Nothobranchius furzeri: one gene and its partner. The protein of the gene in region 1 interacts with the protein of each later gene in a pairwise test. Links are inferred from orthologs where the notes say so. Each region holds a gene or a part of one and is shown on either strand. Other genes may lie near its edges.

Evidence for each region.
Region 2: the proteins of zbtb10 (region 1) and mob3c interact in binary tests that used the Homo sapiens proteins (3 or more experiments, as listed by UniProt). The link is inferred for Nothobranchius furzeri from reciprocal best matches to the Homo sapiens genes ZBTB10 and MOB3C.

What each region holds. Positions count from the first base shown.
Region 1 is NC_091759.1:533,354-536,645, reverse strand, and holds part of zbtb10 (zinc finger and BTB domain-containing protein 10), read left to right. Parts: intron 1-606; coding exon 607-672; intron 673-2,324; coding exon 2,325-2,500; intron 2,501-3,292. UniProt on the Homo sapiens protein: May be involved in transcriptional regulation.
Region 2 is NC_091748.1:53,908,878-53,913,268, forward strand, and holds the start of mob3c (MOB kinase activator 3C), read left to right. Parts: upstream 1-1,380; 5' UTR 1,381-1,537; intron 1,538-2,921; 5' UTR 2,922-3,076; coding exon 3,077-3,494; intron 3,495-4,169; coding exon 4,170-4,372; intron 4,373-4,391. UniProt on the Homo sapiens protein: May regulate the activity of kinases.

The DNA of each region.
Region 1 (3,292 bases):
CATGAACATTACTCTGAGGTGCACACACCCAAGCAATCCCCCCCCCCCCCCCCCACACACACACACACACCCCACCCCCAAAAAATCCATGAGAGGTGCAAAGCTGCCAGGGGCTGTCCCTTCATTCTCTAATCTACTCTAATGCACTGGGGCTACCTTCACTATTTCAAATATTGACCCAGGGACAATGAGTACACACCACACACACACACACACAGAGGGGTGTGTCCTTAATGGTCTCTCAGCACTGCTGCTTTAGGAAGAACACACACACGTACACAGGTGTACAAAAGCAGGGTGTAAGATGAGCCGGTGTGAATGCTCAGCTCTGTCATCCTCTAATTAACCCCCTCCCCGCTGGAAACCCGGTTAGCTGCGGTTAGCTTGTAGCGACGCCTCGGGACGCCAGCTGCTTTACATACAGTGGGGTTCTGGGACTTTGTGTTTGCAGAAACGTCCATTGTATTCAGTCCTGGGGGGTGGGGGGTGGTTGTGTACACAGGACATTGTGAGGTGTGCACCCCCTCCCCCTCCCCACACAGGTTCACAACCACCTCTCACCTGTCTCTCTACCTCCCCCTCTTCCCCCTTTCCCCCTTTTCCCAGAGCTGGCCAATCAGATCCAGTATAGCATCATCCAAGACTTACAGCAAGGAGAGACCTGGGAGAATGGTAAGAAGCCACTCTCTAGACTCCAGCTTGGAATGATTTATCAAAATGGTTGTATTTTTAAATAGTGTAAGCAAATTATCCCCCAATCGATCAAAAGTGACAAAAGGTTATCATTTAAGACCGTTAATGATACAAAAGGAGTTGTTAAACTCCGGGTGTCCCAGTTAACCTGGAGCGTTTAGCATCAGACGTTATGTGACCAAATAAACACGAGCCTTTATTTTCTTAACTGCTTCTTCCTTAATTATATGGTTATTATCTGTAAAATGCAAAGCGTCAATTTTTTTAGATGAATCAAAATAAGCAAAGAATTGAACGAGGATCTGTCTTTGATTCTCAAAGCTACCTGTTAGCGAGCTGCTGAGGCGAATCTTTGATTTAATCAGACATTTGGAAGAGTTCATAAATGGATTTTTTTTTGCTACTTTTAAAAAAAGTAAATCAATACTGTTCCATAAAAAGCAGAATTGATGCGTCTCTACTTTTCGTTACAATTGAATCAGTGGCTAAAAGTCCCTGCCCAGTGTAGAGAAAATGGATTAATTGGATTTAATCCTGCTTTTTAAACGTGTTTGCAGTGTTTTGTGAATTTAGCGGTAGGCTGGGTGGATGTAGTCGAGAAATAATGGAAATGATTCATACTCACTACCATTCCCCTTCTTTTTTATACTTTCATCGTGGTTTCTCTGCTCTGTCTGCGTAATAACAGACCATAAAGATCAGGTCATTTTCTGCTTAACGCTTAGAGCCTTAACTAACTGTTGCACCTCTACACGGCTGTGTTTAAAGCACACACACACACACACACACACACACACACACACACACACACACACACACACACACACACACACACACACACACACACACACACTCTTACACACACACACTCTTACACAGGTGACCTGCTTCTTATCAACCATCCCCCCCCCTTCCTCGCCCCTTGGCCGAGCCACCTTAACAACGCCTCTGTCTCAAACAAAGAGACGGCGCCCCGCTCTCTCACCGAGAAAACAAATAAAGATCTTATTTTTTTCCCTCAAAACTCACATTTGAACCCGCCTGTCTCCTTTCACACACCTTTTAGAGCGTAAATGAACAAAATCAGACGCAAATGCACCTATAGTCATACTGAAATAACGCATAAATGTGTTACTAAAGCTGTAATTCTAATAACCAGTAAAGAAAATATCCAAAACGAACTGTTATTAATGGTTATTAGTCGTAGTTTGTCATTTAAATCCTAGATTTGTGCTTCTGAATGAGAATATTTGCTGGCAAGCGTCATTGTTGGTTTCCACCATCTTTTCTGTGCAGTTATTGGTTGCTTAGCAACAGCCATAAAAGGACTTTGATGGTATTATGTGATTATTTTTTTTTTGGGCTCATCTCAGAGTTGGTGGTTTGTATTTGCACTAATGGCCACCGCATCCTAGCGCAGCCATTCGATGAACAGGATATTGGTTCCTAACACACACACACACACCCTCATCGGCTCATCTTCAAATGGAAATGTAACATTTACGACCGCTGTGATGTTTCATCTGGCCGTTACGACTGACTGGAACATCTCATTGATTTGAAGCTGAGATTAAATCCTCCGTCTCCGGCTGACCTCTCTCCCGTCTCTGTGTTTTCTCCTTCCTGCTCAGGTGAGGCCTCACACCTAGCTCTCAATAAGCTCAAGTGCCCCCACTGTAACTACATCGCCAAGCACCGGCGCACACTCAAGAGGCACCTGATCATCCACTCAGGTGTGCGCTCCTTCAGCTGTGACATCTGTGGCAAGCTGTTCACCCGCCGCGAGCACGTGAAGAGACATTCCCTGGTGAGCATGCACGCTAACCTCACTCCCTTCATTCCACACCTCCTCGTGTGTCTGGCAGCTCCGCTCAGAGGAGTGAGTGCACAGATGCAGTCTTCTGGGCTTTTATCAGGCTTTTTTTTTTTTCCATTAGGGAGTTTTGGTGGGTCACTCACAAACTGGTACAAAACTGTACTTTCTGTTCCAAAAGAGTGGGCTTCCTCTGGAAAACCTCTGAATTTGTAAAATAAATAAAAAGTTGTTGCAAAAAGTTGGATTGATCAGTTAGTTCCTTAGTGTCAGAGGTGGGAGACCAAAAAGGGGGATTTGTGAATCTCTTTTAGGTGTGATGGTGTTGTGATGGGGGGCGTGAAGCAGGATGGACCATCATGACCTTCACCTACGGTCACCAGATTTGGATATGACCTAGTGGAGATAACTCCAGCTTTCCACCAGAAGCGTAATCGTCCTATAACGTCCACGGGTTGTAGTACGTAGTTATGGCCGCCGTTAGTCGACGGGTGCGTTTCCACCGGCCATCAGACGTGTCTCACAAGTGGAGTGTTGCGTTGCTCTGCTTAATTTACTCTTTGGTTCTCATTTTTACAAGGTAGGCTTCTAGAACGAGACAAGCTCAGCCGTTCAGGTGGTTCCAGGAGAAAAAAAAAATCAAACACGAGGGCGGTGTGAAACACGTGGAAACTTTCAAAATAAAAGTCTTGTGTAGATTTCCAGTTGCTTAAAGGTGCGGAACACTGACTAATAATTTTTAATGATTATTTCTGATTCTAATGGGTCACTCTTTGTTTTTCATGT
Region 2 (4,391 bases), on another chromosome or scaffold:
AACCAGTGCAAGAGACAGTAAAATAGGAGTGATGTGAGCTCGTCCGTTTGCTCCAGTTAGGAGCCTCGCTGCAGAGTTCTGGACCAACTGAAAGCGGTTAAGGGCTTTTTTTGTTTAAACATGTAAAAAGGGATAAAGTGTCTAGCACTGGTAGGGAACTGTGTGAGCTTCCGGTTGCATCTAGAGGTAGGATATTTGGAAAATCTTTCTCAAGCCAAAGTTGCATTCTGATCCAGTTTGAAGGACTTTATGCTGCCCCGGCTGAGAGGTTACCTCTCTGAGCAAAAAGGCAGCATCGCACACAGGAAGCATCGATTTGGGAAGAAACGTCTTCTTTTGACCCGTAGTAGGTTAAGCTTTACAAAACACTGAATTTGAAAGCATCTGCTTACAAAAACTATCTCCCTTTATTTAAATACCCAAAGCAAGCGCCAAACTGAAGCCAGCCAGGGAGAACTCGCTTTGGGAAACTCCAACAAACAAGAAGAGTTACCACCTGCCACACCTGACTGGGGAGGAAGGGGGGTGTCAACCAGTTCAGGCAGTTTTGATCTCATTCTGTGTGCCTGCTGTAGAAACGGCTAACTGAAACCTGAAATGTTATGTCATCCTGCACTGATTTAGACTCAAACATGTGTGTGTGTGTGTGTGTTTGTGGGTGTGTGGGTGTGTGTGTGTGTGTGGGGGGGGGACACTCTAGAAAGAAAAGCTTGTAAAAGCTTGTTTCATATTGGCTTTCACTGTACACACACCCTCTACATTTCAGTGGCTCATTCATTCCTTGACAAAGGTGGATATCCAAGGAGCTGCCGGCTCGTGGTACAGAGGAACAAACGGTTTCAGTTAAAAGCTCCTTGTTTATAGATCCAAATGCTGATTCTGATGCATTCTCTATCCAAGGTTGAGCTGTAAATTCAGCAGTTTACATAAAGCTTTCATAAAGCAAAGAATTTAATAACGGCTTATTGAGACATTGCAGAAAATGCCCATACGGACCGTCAAACATCCAGAAATGCCTGTGGTATCTTTCGCTCTGGCAGTCCTACGTGTTGCTCAAGAGAGGGAGTTGTTTTCCCATGCAGGACTTTCACCAGAGGGTTGGGCCTGGAGCTGTGGGCTGGCTGCTCTGCTTACTAAAAAAGAAGAGAAGGAGAGGGGGGAAAGGGCAGAGTCGGGGTTTGGGAAGGCCCTTTTTTGTCTCTTCTCTTCCTTAAAATTATAGGTTCTCCACAAACACACCCACATGTGGTCACACACACACACACACACAGACAGCGAGGGCCAGCACACAAAGTCAGGATGTGACATCATCTACAGGAAGAGAAGCCAAACACTTCTTTCTTTTTCTATTCTTTTCTGTGTTGTGTGTGCCGCTGTGAGGTTGGAGCCCATCGGACTGCCAGTGGCTAGCATTGAAAGAAGATTTAGGACAAATAAAGGAGCAGAGCAGCTGGAGCTGACCTCCACATGGGAGTTTAATCCTTCCAGAACTTCCATAAACAACATTCCAAACTATCCATCGTAGGATCTCACAGAGGTACTGTAGAGGCAGTTTTTTCCTTTCTTGTTTTGTTTTTGTTGCAGCTGAATCTTGAACACGTGATCAGCTATTTTATTATTTCCTATTCTCACTTGAACTAACATTGGCAGATTTCACGAGGACCCGTGAAGCAAGCATGAAGGGTCTGTTATTCTGAGCACATGATTAGACATGCCTGAGCCTGGGGCGGTTGAGGCACGCTGACTTTTTGTCCTCTTGCTGTGACTTTTGCTGCCAATAAATTGTATTGATGCAAATTTTGAGTTTCACTAGAAACATGTCCCCCTGACTTTTCGGCAGAAACTCTAACTTTTCCTGATTTAGTAGCAGTTTTTTTAATTGGCACATTAAGAATGATCAAATGAATGAAATCGAGCACACAGTGAATTTTTACTGTAGTTTTCCTTCAATAGAACAGACGCAAAACACAAGCACTACACCTCTGGGGTGAGGATTCATCATTTAAGTTCACCACAAAATCTCAACCTCAGTGTTTAGTCCCTGATGTGTATAAAAATGCTAGAAAGGGGTTAGGGTAAACTTCTCATTAGAACCATGTAGTCTCAGATAAAACAACAGGAAATGGCCGGAACCGCCGTTCAAAACGGGAATCAGGACACAAACGCCAATATAGTTTCACATTGCAACCACAGTCTTGGAAGTGACTGTGTGTCAAACTTGGGCCAGCGGCATGTGTGTTCAAAAGACTGAACTGAAAAATGTGACTCAGTCCTGAAATAAACTCCTTAGGAAAAGTTCCTCACTGCAAAAACACAGTCTGAACTTTTGAGAGGTTTTTCTCTCTCGGTCGCTGTAGATTACCAAACAGATGGTTAATAGCTTCGGAAGAAAATCTGTAATTGCTTCAGTGGGTTTAGTTTCCATACACCAAAGAACGTTTTCCGTTAGCTGTCACATTCAGTGTGTTTACACGGAGTTAAAATCCTGCCACCACGCTGAATCTGAACGATGAGAATGTCTGTCTGTGCTCCCGAGAGTCGTTTGGTCTACTGACTCCCAGCGTGGCATTTGTTTTCTCAATCAGGCTTGACTCCCTGGGGCCCAGCTGTTGCTCCAGTTAAATTGTTGCTATTTTGGGTTGTGGATGAAACACTTAAAGCCCCTGATGAGGTCATGTTGGTCACTTAACTCTAATGAGACAGTAATGGTTATTCTTGTTTGTCCTGTTGTGGTTTCTTACAAAGATGTTTTTTGTGAAAGCTGATATTTAGAAAAAAACGAGTCTATAACAAAATATCCTAATAATGTATTGCATCAGTATGTTTTACTGGATTGAACCCTATCAATAACAATTTTGACAAAGATAATAGACCACCAGGTAAACGGTAAAGCCTAACATGTCTGTTTTTGCTCCTGACAGAAACATCTGGATTAAAGGACTCCCTGTCGTCTCTCCATAACCAACTCTGACCTCTTGTGACCTGATTTCGCCTGGACCCACTTTATCCAACTCAAAGCCAAACATTACTCTGGAGAGCCTTCACTCCCCTCATTCTAGGGGGAACGACCGAGTCAATGGCGCTGTGCCTCGGTCAAGTGTTCAGTAAAGCCAGAACGTTCAGGCCGAAGAAGCGGTTTGAGCCCGGCACACAGCGCTTTGAACTCTACAAGAAGGCTCAGGCCTCGCTCAAGTCGGGTTTGGACCTGAGGAAAGTGGTTCAGCTGCCAGAGGGAGAGAACCTCAACGACTGGATTGCAGTTCATGTGGTGGATTTCTTCAACAGGATCAACTTGATTTATGGCACAGTTAGTGAGTACTGCACCGAACGCACATGCCCCATTATGTCTGGAGGACTGAGGTACGAGTACAGATGGCAGGATGGAGAGGACTACAAGAAGCCCACCAAGCTCCCCGCTCTCAAGTACATGACTCTGCTGATGGACTGGATCGAGTCGCTCATTAATGACGAGGACATCTTCCCCACCAGAATAGGTGTGTGTAAAGAGTTTACAAATTATTAAGCAATCTTTGATGTTATTGACTAAAGAAAATATATAACGTGTTCTGCTTCAGAGAGGAAGAGCCAAGCTGCTCACCTTCACCAAGCTTTCAAATCCAATCACTGGGTTCAATAAAAGGTTAATTAGACAATGATGTTGACATTTAGATGAGCCTGGTTAATAGTGGCATTAATATTTGGTGCATGTCAGATTTTATAATTGATGTTAATGGGGAGGACAATTCTCTGCCTAAGGGGAGTGGAACACAGCAGTGTGTACTTGTGGCCCATTGTCTCATTGATTTTACATGGGTTTTATTGGCTTATTCCTTTAAACAAGGCGGAGACGTTGATCAGAAGAATTAAAAACTCTAAAATTCCAACTTTTCTAAATGATCGTCTATAAAGCAAGCATTGTTCATTTGGTATTTGATCTAATTATTTTCCATGAGGTTAGGCAAGAACAAGACCCAAAGCACTTATCTTAAATATGAAAGTTGGTTTTATGATGTTTGACATGCAGTTTTTATTACTGCACAATTACCTAGAAATACTTGATGCCGTTGCCATTTCTGTAGCACAAAGACAAAGATAACGAGACTGGCTTTCCCTCTAACAGGTCTTCTGGCAGAAGTTCCCTAACTCAATTCTTTACTTTTCCACTTTAGGCATACCTTTCCCCAAGAACTTCCAGCAGGTGGTCAAGAAAATCCTGAGTCGCCTCTTCAGGGTTTTCGTGCACGTTTACATCCATCACTTTGACAGCGTCTGCAGCATGGGTGCAGAGGCCCACATCAATACCTGCTACAAACACTACTACTACTTCATCACAGAGTTCAGTCTCATTGATAACTCTGAACTTGAGCCCCTGGTGAGTTGTCTGCACCATG